Linked DNA regions of Caenorhabditis elegans. The protein of the gene in region 2 interacts with the protein of the main gene of each other region in a pairwise test. Each region holds a gene or a part of one and is shown on either strand. Other genes may lie near its edges.

What was found.
Region 1: the proteins of ral-1 (region 2) and samp-1 interact in a two-hybrid assay, tested with the Caenorhabditis elegans proteins (one large-scale study listed by BioGRID).

Annotation. Positions count from the first base shown.
Region 1 is NC_003280.10:11,300,258-11,307,885, reverse strand, and holds samp-1 (Transmembrane protein 201 homolog), read right to left. Parts: upstream 4,996-7,628; coding exon 4,934-4,995; intron 4,881-4,933; coding exon 4,630-4,880; intron 4,579-4,629; coding exon 4,059-4,578; intron 4,013-4,058; coding exon 3,934-4,012; intron 3,885-3,933; coding exon 3,757-3,884; intron 3,705-3,756; coding exon 3,141-3,704; intron 2,678-3,140; coding exon 2,515-2,677; 3' UTR 2,200-2,514; downstream 1-2,199. Other genes in the region: rsf-1 (Ras association domain-containing protein 1 homolog), read right to left, coding at 359-446, 1,429-1,468; raga-1 (GTP-binding protein), read right to left, coding at 5,432-5,527, 5,578-5,668, 5,716-6,324, 6,380-6,522; saps-1 (Serine/threonine-protein phosphatase 6 regulatory subunit), read right to left, coding at 7,275-7,522. UniProt on the Caenorhabditis elegans protein: Plays a role in nuclear migration in hypodermal cells.
Region 2 is NC_003281.10:3,308,667-3,318,786, reverse strand, and holds ral-1 (small monomeric GTPase), read right to left. Parts: upstream 7,478-10,120; 5' UTR 7,191-7,477; coding exon 7,070-7,190; intron 6,222-7,069; coding exon 6,163-6,221; intron 6,088-6,162; coding exon 6,022-6,087; intron 5,014-6,021; coding exon 4,892-5,013; intron 4,587-4,891; coding exon 4,500-4,586; intron 2,891-4,499; coding exon 2,713-2,890; intron 1,417-2,712; coding exon 1,285-1,416; 3' UTR 1,071-1,284; downstream 1-1,070. Other genes in the region: Y53G8AR.9 (C3H1-type domain-containing protein), read left to right, coding at 1-2.

The DNA.
Region 1 (7,628 bases), on a different chromosome or scaffold from region 2:
ACAAAGTTATAGAGAAACAACCAATAAGTATTTTGTTAGTTGACAGTTTTTTGATAAAACCAAAGATAGTGGAGGTATGAGCTGTCAAAGTTGGGAGTAACACATGGTGCATCGACGCATCGTTAGCATCTACTTCAGTTCGGCCTAACTATGGGAATAAATCTAAATAGACTAAGTTGTGTACCCATTAAAACATGACAAACGAGATCCATTGAGCACCTGAAGTCCAGTTGGAAAAAAGTGAAAACGAAAGAAACGACCTTATGATCGAGTAGAACCGAGGATCGATAAGTTGGATGGGACGCGGGGGATACGCAGACATTATAAGACATTAGAAATTCAATCAGATTTCACATACCTAATGTTAGATGAAGATGTCGACGGTTGGAAGGCGTATGATTGGTAGGTTGGGTCGTCAGTCGCCACACGGACACTTTGTTCACTCTCTGAAAACTTCTTCTTCTTTTTTCTTTGCTTTCACTGATATCTATAGGCTTTTTGCTATCTTTTGCCCCACACAGAAAGAGTGTTCTCTTTTCTCTCTTGTCACTTCACTTTCAACTGATTGTCAATAAAAAATGAGGAGAGTGAAATGTTGTAAACGAAACGTGCTCGTTGTGCAGAAACTCATCGCGTGCAATTTTTGATATAGATCTGAGCTACTGTTTTTTTGTTGATAAACTTTAAAGTTGGAAATTGGTGGAGTTCCAGTTTATGATTCGTTTTTTGAACAGATAATGTCAGGACCGCAGTTGAGAATTGGAAGGAGTATCGTAAGTCGAAAAATTGTTAAAACCGGTTATAGTGTCCATAGTGTCTAACATAAGTAAGTTATAGTAGTTATAGTTATAGTTATAGTTGTAGTTATAGTTGTAGTTGTAGTAGTTGTAGTTATAGTCATGGTGTCGACAGACGTCTAAGATGCCCAAAATAATTTAGCAAAACTTTTCAACAAATTTTTCAAATATTGTTATTTACAGTCAAAAAATGATCATAATTTTGGAAGTTGAACAAAAAATTTCTTTTTTTCTACGAGTTTTGTATTTTACCATGTATAAATTGTTATCATATAATCATTCTAATGGGTTCAAATTTGCAGACATTCTCGACATTACCCAAATAGTCCTCACTTTTAAAATATTTGCCAATTTGTTTTGGAAAATTGGCAGTTTACCAAATCCCTGCTAGAAATATTGGCAATTTGCCAAAATATCGGCAAAAATTTGGCAATTTACAAAAACGTTTTGGAAAATTAGGCAACTCACTAAAACTTTCTTTTTCAATCTAACTTTTATATATATATGTTTTCTCAACCATTTAATATGGTCAGTGGCCTAGAAAAGTCAAAATGCCTGACAGTTTTGACACAACCTTTAAAATTTTTCCTGTTGTTTAATAAAAACAAAAATTAAAAATTTGAAAACTCACCTTTAGCTTTATCATTATTATTTACAACGGACCGAAGCATGTGCACATACAGTTTTGATCTGAAATCATCATACATTCCATATTCAAAAGTACAAATTTAAAGTCAAAGTCAGCAGCATAAGTACATACACACGGTTTCTTCCGAGAATTGAGCTATTTAAAAGGGATATGGCATGAAAAATTCATAAGAGTTTTGGTTTTTGCTGCAAGACTCGTCCATTGAAAAGAGGAAGGGAGGATCACAAGTGAATGAAATATGAGAAGAAAAGGGAGGAAAATATGAGATACGGAAGAGAAAAGGAACAAATGACGGTGTGGATAATTGTGAGAAGATGAATACGAGTAACCGTAATTGTGGCAGAAGATGGTAAAAGTCGAACTGGCGTCGTCTGAGCGGCAGCAAAATAATTAACCACTACGCCACCGGTGGTTTTTAAGATTTTTTTATTTGATTAGCAGTAAATATAGAAGTGTTTTTTAAGTTTTGTGAAAAACCTTACAATTTGCCAATTTCAAAGTTTTCCCAATTTTGGGCATAGAAAACTGGTATTCAAAAGAGACATCTACTAAAGTGAGGTCAGGCGGACAAACAGAGGACACGAAGAGTGTGTGAATTGGCGAGACGCAGAGATTCGACCACTCCCAGACAGTGTGCAATCCGGGAGAAGCGCAGGAGTGGAGCAATTGTGTGGTGCGCAGCAGGCGGGATGGGGAAGCTGCCTTGTTTGTTGATGTTGTTGCAATCCATTTCTCATCTTTTGCGCGTTCTTTTTTCTCGGGAATTATTCATTTTGTCAATAGACTTGTACTGGAGAGAGATGTATATGTAGATGGGTTTCATGTAGTAGAAATTGAAGTAGTAAGGTATTTAACAACGAAGTGAGATCATCAGAGAGGGTGAAAAGGGGCATATTTGAAAGAATAAATTCAACAAAACGAGCTAGACACACATCAAATAGTAAAAGAGCACTGGGAACCCAAATAACTTGAAACTAATATCACACAGGATCAAACAACAAAAATGTGAATAGGGCATGATGAGGAGAGAGATGAAACATAGAAAACAACATATATAATAAGGTCGAATCAATTGCGGGTGAAAAGAACGTAGAACAGTCCGATCTGCATGATGAGTACGATAAAAACCAGCGCGAAGAGGATGCCGATGACGCGACACTGCCACGCGCCGCTGACCGTTGAGTGTCCGTCTTGTTGCGAGACCGATGTGAACACTGAACCGGGTCGAGTGCTGTAAATAAATAAAATTGATGGGAATCTTGAAGGTTAATAGAAGGAAAAACGTAGAAAAACCAAACAGAATTTAGTCAATCTTTTCAATAAATGCTGGTTCTTGCAAAATATTATTGGCTCCAAAATACCGTAACCACGGTCTCGAAACGAAAATCTAATCTTCAAATTTTAAATCTAAATTGAATAATAACGGAATTTTCAATTCTTTTTAAATTAATTTTAGTTTTCATCTGAGCTTACGTGACCTGTGACTTGAAAGGTCTAACCAAAATTCCACATATTATTTATCAAAGTCCAACGTCCAATCAGTTCTAAGTTTTTAAAAGTCTAATATACAATTATCCTGCACAAATGCTATCACACTATTGCTTCTCTAATTATCATTCTAAACAAAAAATAACTGATTGTTCAAGATTAAAGGGTTAAGTTTTAATAAATATTTCAGTTTCAACAAATCTTACTGTGCTTCCGGTGCCATGTAGTGGCTCCTGTCGTATTGTGAAGCTACCATAGATCGTGGTGGCCCGAACAATGATCTAGTCGGTGTGTGATTCTGTTGCTGAGCCATTTGCCGGTGTTGTCTTGAGAATATACTTGGAGAATCGACAGATCTCGTATCAAGATTCAAATTTGCCACGGAGGGTGTAAGCTGTTGAGCAGTCATTCTTTCATTGATATTTCTGGATAAAAGTCCTGGCTTGAAATGACTGGAACGAGTTGATTGAGCAACCGATTGAGCCGCCATCGATTCACTATCATCCCAATCCATTGATTCCACGTGATTGTTAGGTTTAGTCTGATAACTTTGCATATTTTCCTTGTTCTCCCGACTTCTCATTGCAGACCACACTGGACCATTTGTTATTTCACGGAGCAATGGTGGAGAGGAATTCATTGCTGGAGGGCTTGCTGATGGCGTATGTGGAGATCTTCGAAGAATCGTGTGGTCATGATCGAGAAGTGAAGCGTTTCGACTGTTTTGTGAAGAGCATTGAGAGATCGGAGTTGACGCAACAGAGAAGGCACTGAAAATTGAAAAAGTTGAAGGAATTTTTAAAAATAAAATATTTATTTAACCTTGAAACAATCTTATTCGGTCGTTTCTTATGCAGCTTTTTCCTTGGAAGAAGTGTCACTGCCATTGAAAGGATCGTTGAAAACGAAGCACATGCACCTCTGACAAGAGCGACATCTTGTGATAAATTCTGAAAAAAAGAGGTGTAAAACTTGCAAAGGGTATATTTTGAAACTCACATCACTTGAAGTCAAAACTGTTAGCATTGCGAGGATCAGAAGGATGGGCAGCAGCAGGTCGGGAAGAGTAACTCGGCATCTGAAATTAAAATTACAGTTTTTTTGTATTGTAGAATGAAACTTACTTATTATTAAATGCAGCAATCAAATGTGTAGTGAAGATCAGAAAATTGATGACGAAGGAATATTTATAAACTTCTGGCAGAATATCTTGAAGAGCCTTTGGCAAATTGATCAGCGATGCTCCTGCATCTTGCTGTAAGAAGTCGATATTCGCCAAAAAGAGAATAATTGAAGAGATGAGGCATCCAAAATGAAGAGCTTCACATGTACTTCCACCGGCGAAGAAGAATCTCCGCGATCGTTTCTGATTGTTCATCACTTCTCGTAGAGTAGATCCAATTGCATGTTTCAGCTTATATTTCACTTTCAGAAGATATGAGTATTTCTTCTTATCCTCCTCCAGCTTTCCATGAACTTGAATTGTACATCTCGGACACAGCTGGTACATTCTTTCCAGTTTGTATCGATAATCCTCGAGCTCTTCGTTCCATCGATCCTCATCAATGGGCTCGAATTCTGCGACCTTGTTCATTATGATCTCCTGGCCGAGGTTGCATTCCGAGCAGAGACCGTTAGAAGCTTCTGGAATTTTAATTTAACTCATAAATTATAAAAAAAGGATATTAAACTCACTAGGACTCATGTTCACCCCGCCAAATCGATCCAAAAATGTGCTCGGCTTCTCTGACTGCATTTTCCCCGGCTCACAATATCTCTTGGGTGTAGTCCACGCTTGTCCAGGAATCCGACGGTTATAGTCTCCGTCTTCGGTGAATCCGTTGTATTGTTCGCATGACGGGCAGGTGAAGCTATTCCTTTGCTGGTATTCGACCTTCGTGCTTTTGCGGCAAAACCAGCACTCCACCGATGTCTTTATCCGAGGTCTGAAAATATGTATAATTATTAATTTTTTGCAAATTAAGAAGAAAAACATTACCTTATAGCCTTATAAAGGATCGGAACTGAAGCGATCACACCGACCGCAGCAGCCACCTCCATCTGAATTTATATTGAAATTTTATACTTTTTTAAACATAGATTAAAATAGGCAGACTTGTTGATAACAAATTACTAATTAAACGAGAAAATATCAGTTAAATTCCAAATGAAAATATAGCACAATTCATATACAAATACAGAACAAGAACACGAACGATAGGTTTTTTCGATGATGACTATCGCAAAGAATCGGATTTGGATGGTACGGGGAGAATTAAACAAAAAAAACGAAAAACTTCGCAAAAGCACTGGCGAAACGGAAAATCTAAGCGGTGAATTACGAAATATAGTGAAAAATATAGAGTTGAACAATTTTGCAGTTGGATTTAAATAAATCAGTTTAGCATTATAATACAGCAACATGGGATATGGGATGGTAACTAAACGAAAATAACTGGAATGCGGGGCAAGAACTCGGTGAAATATTCAAATTCGTCTAGCTTTTCGTCTCGATCGCCTCGAACACCTTCCTCGCGTTCTTCACGTTCATTGTGATCATTGGAGCCGATGCGTTGCCGTCGGGTATCACGATCTGAACAAAATAAAATAGTGTTTTAAAATACATTTTATTTGAGATTTTACCATAACATAAGTGTTCTGGGTGAACGAGTCGATGAATGCGGAGAATTGACTGTTTCGGACTTGAATCGAATCCAACTTGGACCCCATTTTTCTGAAAGGAAGATGAAGCTTGAATTAATCTGTTTCGATGTAACTTACGTGCATGAAAGCTTGAATTGCTTTATGATGTTTGAAACCTTCTCGAATCGATGTGGATCCTTATGCTCTCGGAGAACAGCATGCGCAATAACCAGGAACGTCGCTCTCTCGAATAGAATAACTTCATCGGCATCCAAAATAGCTCCGAACTTCTTCAGCTTGTCCTCCATGGTTCCGACGTTTGGCACCAGATGATAGACTATCGCGGACCACGCTTTGTAGAGTGTCTCATCCCAAATACTGCTCTTGAAGCATTGACAAACAGCGTTCGTCCGTTCATTCTGAAGTGGAGTCGCTGCAAGTTCACTGTATCGCAGTACATCTGCTTCACGACGTTTGAACGTCTCTTCACGTTTGTCCTCCTCGATCAGATCCATTTTGTGAATGAGACAGAAGACTTGAGCATTCGGTGAATTTTGGAGAAGAGCTTCGAGACAAGACTGGTAATATCTGAGATCTTTCTCGAACTCTCGGCTTTCCACGTCGAATACGTATATGAGCACTTGAACATTCTTGAAGATCTGATCCTTTTGCGAGACGAGGAAGTTCTCCATGAATGATTCCTGACCACCACAATCCCACAAGTGAAGAACCATGTTTCCGAGGAACCTGGAAAAGGAAAAATTGTGTTCTTTTGATAATTGATCCAGAATTGATCCCTTACTTGACATGAGCATGCTCAACTTCGATTGTTGGCCCGAGACGCGAACAATCCCTGGCGATGTAGTTGGCAAATATGATCGAACGCATCGAAGTCTTGCCGGATCCACTTTTGCCCATCAGAAGAACTTTTCGTTTTGAAGACATCTTTTCTGAAAATAAATTATGTTTTTTTCTGAAGATCTTTGAAACAAAACTAAGATATTAGAACAATGATCATAAAACATCCAAATTTTCAATCAAGCTATAATTTTTTAAAAAGAATTTATAAACTCATGAAAGAGGAAGAAATACAAGAAATAGTGGGAAGTTATTATTGAATGCAACGAATTGTGAAATAGGATGGAATGGAAAATCTGATACTCACTAACACGAGATAAACAATCAATGAAGGTGAAATCAGAATAATTGAATTTCAATAACCACCTAAACAAGAAAAAGAGTAGAGGGGGAAAAGATTGGACCAAATTAAAAGTTGCCCGAGAATCATATATTATGTATTAGAAGAAGTAACAAATAAGCCGTGCTTCTTATCACTGGGGGCGCTCACTTTTTTTAAATGATAAGATAATGTTCTTTAGAAGAAACCAGCAAAGATGAGAAGCCACGGAAAATTCGGAAACAAAATTCTAAGTGCATCGGATGCAACGGTTTTAAAGTCGGTGGGAATATGGGGAAACATGAACAACGAATGGAGAATGGGAAAGAACCGCAAAATCGAGATTGATAAATTAATAAGTGAAATTTGCAAGAAACACACACACACAGAAAAATTTTGGAATTCTGGTTGAAAATGAGGGGGAAGTTCGAAGTGAATTGCATACAAGACTATAAACAGAAAAATGTAGAAAATAATTGGGATGTGAAACGAATTGGGGATGACACGAGTTGCAAGGGCTTCAAGCCTCGCTGCTGTCTCCAGGATGGGATATACTCGCAGCAAGTCCAACCATTACCGGGTCGGATGCTTTCGATTCGTGCGAGTTGTTCAACGGCCAATCCGACGCTTCCCCTTGAAGATGAATGTCTGATCCAGGCCACGCATCGGAGCTACTGGACGACGCCGAGTTTGCAGCTGCAGTCGGACTGATGGTTGGGAACGAGGAGAAATCGGCCCACATATCGTCTTCCTTTGGGGGTGCCATGTCTGAAAACATTGATTTTAAATTGAGTAATAAAATTGGTTCAACATAGGTGGGATGGCTTACTCCAGGAAATCGGAAAGGGAAACCGACGTGCAACAATCTACAGAC
Region 2 (10,120 bases):
AGATTTTTAGGAGAGAGATGGAAATTGTGTGGAGAAAATGAAGAAAATTTGGCTTGGAATTGTGATTTTTGAGGTTTTTTAAGCTTGAACAGCCGAAAATCCGAGTTTCCATGGATTTTGTGCTTTTTTCGAGAAAATCTGCTCATTTTTAAGGTTTTAGGTAGCAAATTTTTAAGGTTCCACTTTTTGAGGCGAAAAATTGTGCAATTGTGCTCTTAACGGCTTTTTTACCAAATTTTCGCCGTAGAAAATGCTCGAAATTGTGAATTTTGAGCAAAAAATATTTTTTCCGTGCTCATTTTCATGAAAACCATGAAAATCTGCACATTTTCATGCATTTTTCTCGGATTTTCAGGTTTTTTTGAAAGAAAATCTCTATAATTCCAGCTATGAGCCGAAAATTGTGCGCGATTTCCAGAAAAATTCGGAAAATTGCACATTTTGATCAAAAAATTGACGTTTCTATGAATTTTTGGCGAAAATTGGGCTCATTTTTGAGAAAATCCTGAAAATTGCTCATTTTCGCTCATTTTTTTTGCCGATTTCAATGCTTTTTATTGCCAAATGCTTTAAAATTTTCAAAAATTCCACTTTTTAATCTCTGAAAATTCATTTTGAGCCGAAGAATTGTGCAAAAATTTCCTTAAAAATTCCCAAAATATCCGATTTTCAGCTGTTTTTCCTCAATAAAACCCTGAAAAATCCATTTTCAAGCCACATTTCCACCATTTCCAGCACTTTTTCCATTCCTAAAAATTTTCCATCCATCAAAAAATTCCAACACATTTCCCCATGATTTTCTCGATTTCTCTCTATTTTTTAATTAAAATTTTCAATTTTTTGTGTGTGATAATAACATGTCTAAAAGAATTATTGATTTTTTTATCCATTTTTGTTGTAATTTTCCCTTTTTTCTCTTGTTTTCTTACCAATTCCCATCCAAATCAGCTCCAACAGTACTTTAATTTATTTATTTTTTTTTTATTTCCAAAAAATGTTCCCCCTTTTCTCTGAATCTCTCCTCTCTCATATACATTTTACTAAATATTTAAAAAAAAAAATAAAAAAAATTTCGGAAAAAAAATTAATTTTTCATGTGAATTGTAGGCGGTTTTGGATGACCCGGATGGCGCGGATAGGGATAAAAATTTAAAATTAAAAAATTAAAAAGAAGGAAAAATATATAAAATCGCAAAAAAATTAAAATTTTAGGCGGCGAGGCGGGAAATAAGGCAAATTGCACACGGAAATTTCAAAAAAAAATTGGAGAAAAAAACTGAAAATTTAAAGAATTGTGCAATGCTTCTTGATTCCGGATCGCTTTTTACGGCCGGAGCTCGCCGACGCGTCGATTCCTGTTTGAGCCTGTGAGCCACCCTTTCGACGCTTCATTTCACGCATCAAATCGTAGAATACCTGCAAAAAAATTTGGGGATTTTAGGAGTTTTTAACTGAAAAAAAAAACGATTTTTTTAATGAGAGTTTTTACTGGGAAAAATTGTAAATTCATAATTTTTCACCGGAAAATTGAAATTTTACGATTTTTGGACTAAAAAATTGAAATTTTTTGGACTAAAAATTGAAATTTTATGATTTTTTGAACTAAAAAATTGAAATTTTATAATTTTTTGGACTAAAAATTGAAATTTTAGAGTTTTTAACTGAAAAAAAACGAAATTTTGCGATTTTCCAAACTAAAAATCGATTTTTTTGACTTTACAAAATTGAAATTTTGGGGATTTTTAGATAAAAAAAACTGGAAAATGGCATATTTCGGAAATTTTTAGTGAAAAAAAAACGGAGTAAATTGACTATTTTTGGCTAAAAATTGCACAAAATCCATACAATTTTGAAATTTTTCACAAATTTTCATTAAAAATTCGAATTTTTAATCTAAAAACGACGAATTTTTCACTATTCAACTCAAAATTCCACTATTTTCTCCAATTTTCTCGATTTTTAGCCTAAAAACGTTGGATGTTTCCAATTTTCCGGCTGAAATTCGCCGAATTTTCCAAATTTTCAGCCTAAAATCCTCCCGTACCTTTTTTTTCACAGGAAAAATTAAAATTTTAGTAGGTTTTTAGCTGAAAAATTGAATTTTTTGAGTTTTTAACTGAAAAAATCGAAATTTTTTATATTTTTTTGACTGAAAAATTGAAATTCTCCAAAATGAGCACAATTATTAGCTCAAAATGAATTTTCCGGGCTCAGAAAGTGAAATTTTTAAAATTTTCAGGGAATTTGTCATGAAAGCTCTTAAAATCAGCAAAAAAAATTGTTTTTTAACTAAAAAAAGGCCATTTTTTGATTTTTCATGTGAAAATTAAATATGTTTTTTTTTGTTATTTTTTACACGAAAAGATCGAATTTTTATGAATTTTTTGATGAAAACTTGAAATTTTATGATTGTTTAGATGGAAAAAATCGAATTTCTTGATTTTTCAACTTTAAAGTGGAATTTTATGATTTTTTAACTGAAAAAATCAAAGTTTTAGGATTTTTTAGCTCAAAAATCGCTGAATTTCACAGATTTTCAGCCGAAAACTTATTTCCTGCTGAAAATTGGAGACATTTGTGTCAAAAATTTGAATTTTTCGCTTTTCAGCTCAAAATTCCGCCAATTTTGACTATTTTCTCCAATTTTTCCAATTTTCCGGCTGAAATTCGCCGAATTTTCCAAATTTTCAGCCTAAAATCTCTTCCCAATACCTTATCAACATTTTCACGTCTTTTAGCCGATGTCTCAACATAATGACATCCCCATTGTTCAGCACGTTGTCGACATAATTCAGCTGATACAACACGTTGATCACGCATATCACCCTTATTTCCAACCAATACAATTGGAACTGATGAATCCGAATTTTTGACACGAAGAATTTGTTCGCTGCAAGAAATAACGGGGGTTTTGGGCCTAAATTGTCTAAAAATCGAAGCTTTTCGGCCTAAAATAGGCAAATTTTGGCCGTTTTTAGTGAAAATTTCACAAAATTCGGGTTAAAATTTCCCATTTTTCAAGTTTTTCGGCTTAAAATAGGCAAAATTTGACATTTTTGAGTGAAAATTTCATGAAATTTGGGTGAAAATTGCCCAAAATCGGGGTTTTTCGGCCTAAAATAGGCAAAATTTGAAAGTTTTTAGTGAAAATTTGATGAAATTTGGGTGAAAATGGACCAAAATCCTAGTTTTTTGAACAAAAATAGGCAAATTTTGTAAGTTTTTAATGAAAATTTGGCAAATTTGGGGTGAAAATTGACTAAAATCCGAGTTTTCGGGTCTATAGAGCGTAAAATTTGAAAGTTTTCATGAAAATTGGGTTAAAACCGACCTTTTTAAAAAGTTTTTCGGTCTAAAATAGGCGAATTTTGAGATTTTTGTGTGAAAAAGTGAAATTTTCTTGAAATTTAGAGTTTTTTCAACCGAAAATAGGCAAATTTTGGCCGTTTTTAGTGAAAATTTCACAAAATTCGCGTTAAAATTGACCATTTTTCAAGTTTTTCGGCCTAAGATAGGCTTAATTTGACATTTTTAAGTCGAAATTTTGTAAGTTTAGGCTTAAAATGGACCAAATTACGAGTTTTTTTAAACAAAAATACGCAATTTTGAAAGTTTTGAGGAGAAATTTCATGAAAATTGGGTAAAAATTGACAATTTTTCGAGTTTTTACTAATTTTGAAAGACAAAAATGTGCAAATTTAGACATTTTTAAGCGAAAATTTCGTGAGTTTAGGGTTAAGATGGGCCAAAATCCGAGTTTTTTGACCGAAAATAGGCAAATTTGGACATTTTTGAGTGAAAATTTTACGAAATATGGGTGAAAAATGCCCGAAATCGGGGTTTTTCGGTCTAAAATAGGCAAAAATTGACAGTTTTTAGTCAAAATTTAGTAAATTTAGGGTTAAAATGAACCAAAATTGGAGTTTTTGCCAGAAAATTTCAGAAATTTGCATATTTTCAGTAAAATTCATCGAAAATCTGACATTTTTTTGGCATTTTTTAGCACGAAAAAGTGTTTTATTCAGTTTGGAATCTTTTTTTGCTAAAAACGAGCAAATTTTTACATTTTTATTGAAAATTTCATGGAATTCGGGTTAAAACTGACCAAAAATCAATTTTTTCGCATTTTCAGGACTTTTTTGGTCGAAATTTTGCTATTTTCAACCAAATTCCAGTTAAAAGTGACCAAAATTCGCATTTTTCATTACTTTTTTGCTCGAAAATGGCAAAATTAGCAGAAATTTGGTGTATTTTTCAAATTTTTCGCTTAAAATCGGTCAAAATTAGGAATTTTTAGGTGGAAATTATCGAAAATTGCCCTATTTTCTTGAAATTCCTCCTTTTTTTGTCAAATTTCAGCCAAAAAAAAAAACTGAAAATTCATTAAAAATTATCGATTTTTGTCCAATTTTTCGAGAAAAAACTGAAAATTTCAATGTTTTAGGGTGAAAAAATCAATTTTTCTTCATTTTTCCAGTCAAAATGTCGAAAAAACTTACCGAAACTCGTTTGTAGCCTCAAATGATTCCATATCCAAAATCGAAAAGACACAAATAAATCCCTCACCACTTCGATAGTAATTATCACTGAAAAATTGAAAAAATTGGGGAAAAATCAGTTAAAATTACGATTTTTTGGCTCTTTTCGCGTGAAAAAACAAAAAATTCCTTAAAATTTAGTCTTTGGTGGGAAAAAAAGTTCAAAAACCGGCTCAAAACCTCCGATTTTTCCGGAAAATCCCAAAAAATCGGCTTAAAATGACGACTTTTGCTGAAAATAACGAAAAATAAGCCGATTTTTGGCAATTTTTCTCTAAAATTTGATGAAAAACATCCAAATTTCGTGATTTTTTCGATTTTTCAGCGATTTTTCGCCAATTTCCAGTGCTTACCGAATTGCAGAATAATCTTCTTGTCCAGCCGTATCAAGAATATCAATTGAGCATTCTTCACCGTCTAAAACCACTTTTTTACGATACGAATCCGCTTTTGTTGGCTCATATTCCTCCACAAACTGCAAAAAAAAAGGATAAATTCGGTTTTTAGATTAAAAAATCCGAGAAAATTGGAATTTTTGAGTGAAAATTGTGATTTTTGGGGTTTTTTGACATAAAATTCGGGAAAATCAGAACTTTTCAACGTATTTTTGGTAGAAAAATGAAAAAATTGGGATTTTTTGACATAAAATTCGTGAAAATTGGAATTTTTTGGGGGTTTTTCGACATAAAAAAGGCGAAAATAGGTATTTTTTTAATAAAATTTTTGGAAAATTGGAATTTTTCGGGGGTTTTGGATATGAAAAAGGCAAAATTTTGAATTTTTTGGCATAAAATTCCCAAAAATTGGATTTTTTTTTCATAAAAAACGTGAAAAGTGGAATTTTTGTGATTTTTCGACATAAAATTCGGTAAAATCAGAATTTTTCATAGTTTTTGGGTAGAAAAATGGAAAAATGAAGATTTTTTGGGGTTTTTTGACATAAAACTCGCAAAAAATTGGAATTTTTCAGTGATTTAAAGTAGAAAACGGAAATATCGGAATTTTTTACATTAAATTTGCAAAATTGGGATTTTTTTGCCTTAAAATTCGGGAAAATTGGCATTTTTAGAGCTTTTGAGTGAAAAAAACTCGAAAATCGGATTATTTTTGGATTTTTTGACATAAAATTCGGGGAAAATGGAATTTTTCAGGCTTTCTGACGTAAAATACCCAAAACTCGAATTTTTTTGGGGTTTTTGGCAAAAAATGCACAAAATTCGGCCTAAAAAAGGTACAAATTGAGATTTTTCGACATAAAATTCGGGAACATCGCAAAACTTCGGATTTTTAACATAAAATTTGAGAAAAACGACGTTTTTAGAGTCTTTGCATGCAAATTTGCAAAAATTCCGGGATTTTCGTCTAGATTCTTCGGAAAAATCGGAATTTCCGGTGTTTTCTTCTTGAAACATCGATTTTTAGGTTTTTTTCGGAATTTTTCAGAAAAAATTGTTCTTTTCTCGTTTTTCGCCAAATTCCGCACCTCATCATACATGAACTGCAAAGTGAGAGCCGATTTTCCGACACCTCCGGTTCCGACCATAATAACCTGCAATTTTATTGATTTTTTCAGTTTTTTTGGGAAAAAATTCAATTTTTTCGAATTTTCAGGGCAAAAACTCACTTTATGGACGACTTGTTGTTGCGGCGGCAGTGTTCCGCTTGCTTTTTTCGATGCCATGGCTGAAAATTCGAGTTTTAGGGGGAAAACCCGGGGGAAATCGACGAAAATTGGGGAATTTCTCAATTTTTGGCTAGAAAATATCCGGGAAATTGCAAAATTTAGCGTTAAAAATGGAAATTTATGCAAATTTTCAGATTCTCAACAACAAAAACCACCAAAAAACCGGTTTTCCCGCAGAAAATTCATCAAAAAATGACCAAAAACCACCGTAACCCTCCATTCTGAAAGTTGTGTACTCTGCGAACACCGAATTTTACGACAGTTGAGGGGTACGGTAGAAAGCAGGATTTTGCAGGTTTTAAGTAGATTTTAAAGTGAAAATTGTCAGTTTTAAGCTAAAAAATTGTGAAAATCAGTTGAATATATTGATTTTCATGTGAAAAATGCAAGAAAAATTGAGATTTCCTTTTAAAAATGACTGAAAATCTTGAAAACACCAGATCTTACGCGCAAACTTTTTTTCTTTTTATTTTTCACAGGGTTTTTACATATTTTTATTAAAAATCTGCTCAAAAACTGAATTTTTCTGTAATTTTTATAGGGATTACATAAAAAATAAATGATTTCCTTCTTAAAATAAAAAAAAACAGAAAAAATGCCGAAAATTTAAAAACTCGAAATTTCGGTTAAAAATTTAAAAAATTTTCAAAATTTCTACCGGAAACTTATTTATATCAATGAAAACTGCTCTAAACCCCATTTTCCCTCAAATTTCTGCTAAAAAATTCAAATTCCCGCCGCCCAGCGCCAATTTCTCATTAGAGCGCGTTTGCCTCAAATTTCCTCACTTTTTCCTGGATTTCTGCCATTTAAACCAACTTTTCACCACGGAAAAACAAAATATTACCTTCCGGATCATAAAACTCGGGTTCATCACTCTTCCGGCGGAATAAAAAGTGCCAAAGAGCCAAGAATTTAAGCTTTATCCAGTTCCACCCATTTCGGAGCACATGGGACACCTTATCCATTTTTTTTAACGAGAAAATATAAAATTTTCCACTATAGGAAAATTACGGGGGATTTCTCGAGGTTTTTCAGGAAAAAGAATAAAAAATTTCGCAAAAAAAAATGTTGCGAAATTTTCGGATTTTCGGGTCGGAAGAAGGTGTCCAATAGCAACCAGAAGAGCGTATGTGCCTAGTGCCTCATTTTCTATTCACACGCTGACGGGAAAAGTGAGGGTGAGAAATAGTGTAGAAAACCGTGGAGACGCAGACTTTTTGACTGTTTTGGTGAGGCACCGCCTCGCTCTCCCGGCTACACAATTATGCATAATAAGACAAAAAGGCGGAAAAGGCAGAGACGCAGAACAATATGAAATGTTATTTGTTTTAGTACTGTCTGCCGGTGATAGAGGAGGGGATTTTAACAAAAAAACTGTGAAAAAAGTATCGAAATTTTTGAAAAAATCGATAATTTTTCTTGCAAATATCGATTTTTTCCAGGTTTTTTTGAATTTGCCCTACTGAGAGCTTCAAAATGACCCCCATATCGGCTGGTTTACTCGAAAATTCAAAATTTTGCGGTAAACGCGCCCTACCGCACACCGGGGAGGTGGGAACTTGAGTTTATCGATTTTTTAAAGTCGATTATCGATTTTTTCTAATTTGTTCTGGTTTTTATCGAATTCCCCTCACTGTAAGCTGCAAAATAACCCTGATATCGGCTGAATAACTCGAAAATTTGAAATTTTGCGTAAAACGCGCCCTACCGCACACTTGGTCGGCGGGAATTTGAATTTCAACGCGGTTTAACGAGTTTTCAATTTTTTTTCTGATTTTTCCGGTCAAATTGCGGTAGATTTACTTGAAAATTAAACATTTAGTGGAAAACGCGCCCTACCGCACACCAGCGACAATGAAAATGTGCTCTATCGCTAAACGGCGCGGAGGCCCGCGGGAATTTGAATTTTTGAGTGACAATTGAATAAAAAACGATTTTTCCAAGTTTCTCATTGTTTTTCCTGGATTTTGGCCTCAATTAATTCAAATTTTCAAAAAAAAAATTCAAAAATTACCAAAAAAACCTGCTATTTTTTGCTCAAAATGTCGTTTTTTCCCATAAAATAATTTTTTTTTTTCATCACGAAAAGTGTTCCCAAAACATTTTCCAAATAAATTCTATTTTTATTGTTCTTCTCCAGAAAAGAAAAGACCTTGGCATAGTAAAAGGACTCCAATTATCGGAGGAAAATGAGGGTCAAGACTCTTTTTTTCTTATTATAACTTGGTAGTTTTGATGAATTAGGCAGTTTAAGGGAGTAATAAATTAGAAGAAACTTTTTTTTTTGGGAAAAAATTTTTGAAATTTCGAAAAAAAAATTCAAAAAAAAGTTTTTTTTGAACTTCTTTTCAAACTTTTTTTCGGAATTTTTTTTTCAAATAATTTGTTTTTAAAAATTTTCTGCTCAAATTCATACTCAGCTCACCGAGTCCTTCAAAATAACACCCATTTTGGCGGGTTTTTTTCAACGTTTGAAAAACCAAATTGAAAGTGCGCCCCACCGCCGCACTGTTGGCTGGCGGGAATTTAAAATTACTTTTTAAATTCGGGGATTTTCCTGCTTTTAACATTTAAAATGCCGCAAAACTACATTTTTTCAATAAAATGACAGAAAAAATTTGGAATTGTTGCAAACGCGCTCTATAGCCAATTTGCTCGGCGGAGCGCGGGAATTTGAATTTTCCAAAATATTTCAATGATTTTTCGGTGTTATAAGCTATTATGTTGTGAAAAATGATAAACAACAGTGAAAATTAAAAGAAAATATCGATGTTTCGTTAAAAATCGGATAACTGCGGTGAAAACGCGCTCTACCGCTAATAAGGGCGGCACGGGCGGATTGTTTGGCGGGAATTTGAATTTTATTGTGGAAATTATGAGTTTTAGACTATTTTTCTTGATGAAAGTAGATTTTCAGCAAATTTTCCGAATTTTTTAAAGGAAAAGTTTGAAATTTTCGAAAATCTTGGAAAATCGATAAAATTTGATATTTTTCATCGCGAAAATCGATTTTTCTCTATTTTTCCACAAAAACATTTGATTTTGGCCGATTTTACACATTTCTGACCTAATTTCAATAGCCTGGAGAAAACGCGCTCTATTGCTAATCGGGCGGCGTGGTCGGCGGGAATTGGAATTGTTTTTCTGGTTTAAATTTGCGGTTTTAGGCTATTTTTCTTGATTTTAAGGTTTAAAATCAGATTTTCCATTGATTTAAACGCAATTTTTCAGGCATTTTTCGATAAAATATCGATTTGTCCTTAAAAATTTGGATAAAATGAGAAATTCGTTCCGGGAAAACACGAGAAAATCGATGATATATAAATACATAAAAATATAAAAAGTGAAAAAGAGAAGAACGAAAAAAGATGACGCTTCCGTCCCCGAGACCTGCATACCTGTGGAGAAGAGAGAGAGATGGAGAGAGCGCAGAGACGCAGAGATAACAAACAGAAAAATGTGAAGACAAAAAAAACTGGTCGATCTTGTTTGGGTGGTCAACAGCATGGAGAAACAGAAAAAATAACGATAAAAATAGGAAAAAAAAACTGGAAATTAATTAATTTTTTTTTTGGAAAAAAATTTTGAAAAAAACAATTTCAAAAAAATTTTTTTCTTAAAAATCAATAATTTTCTACTGATTTCTGTATGAAGTTTTGTAAAATTCAAAAAATCAGTCAGAAACCTTAAAAAACAGAAAAGTTATAGAACTTTTAAATTTTCAAAAAAAAATTACTGTGGGGTCCCGCCACGAAAAATTTAGGATGTCATTAATTTATTTTCCAAGAATACACAGATTTTGGCTCATTTTAAACTCAAAATAAGCAAAAAATCTTGAAAATTGGGAAAGTTATAAATTTTTGAAATTTTTCGAAAAAAAATTTTTTTTGGAATT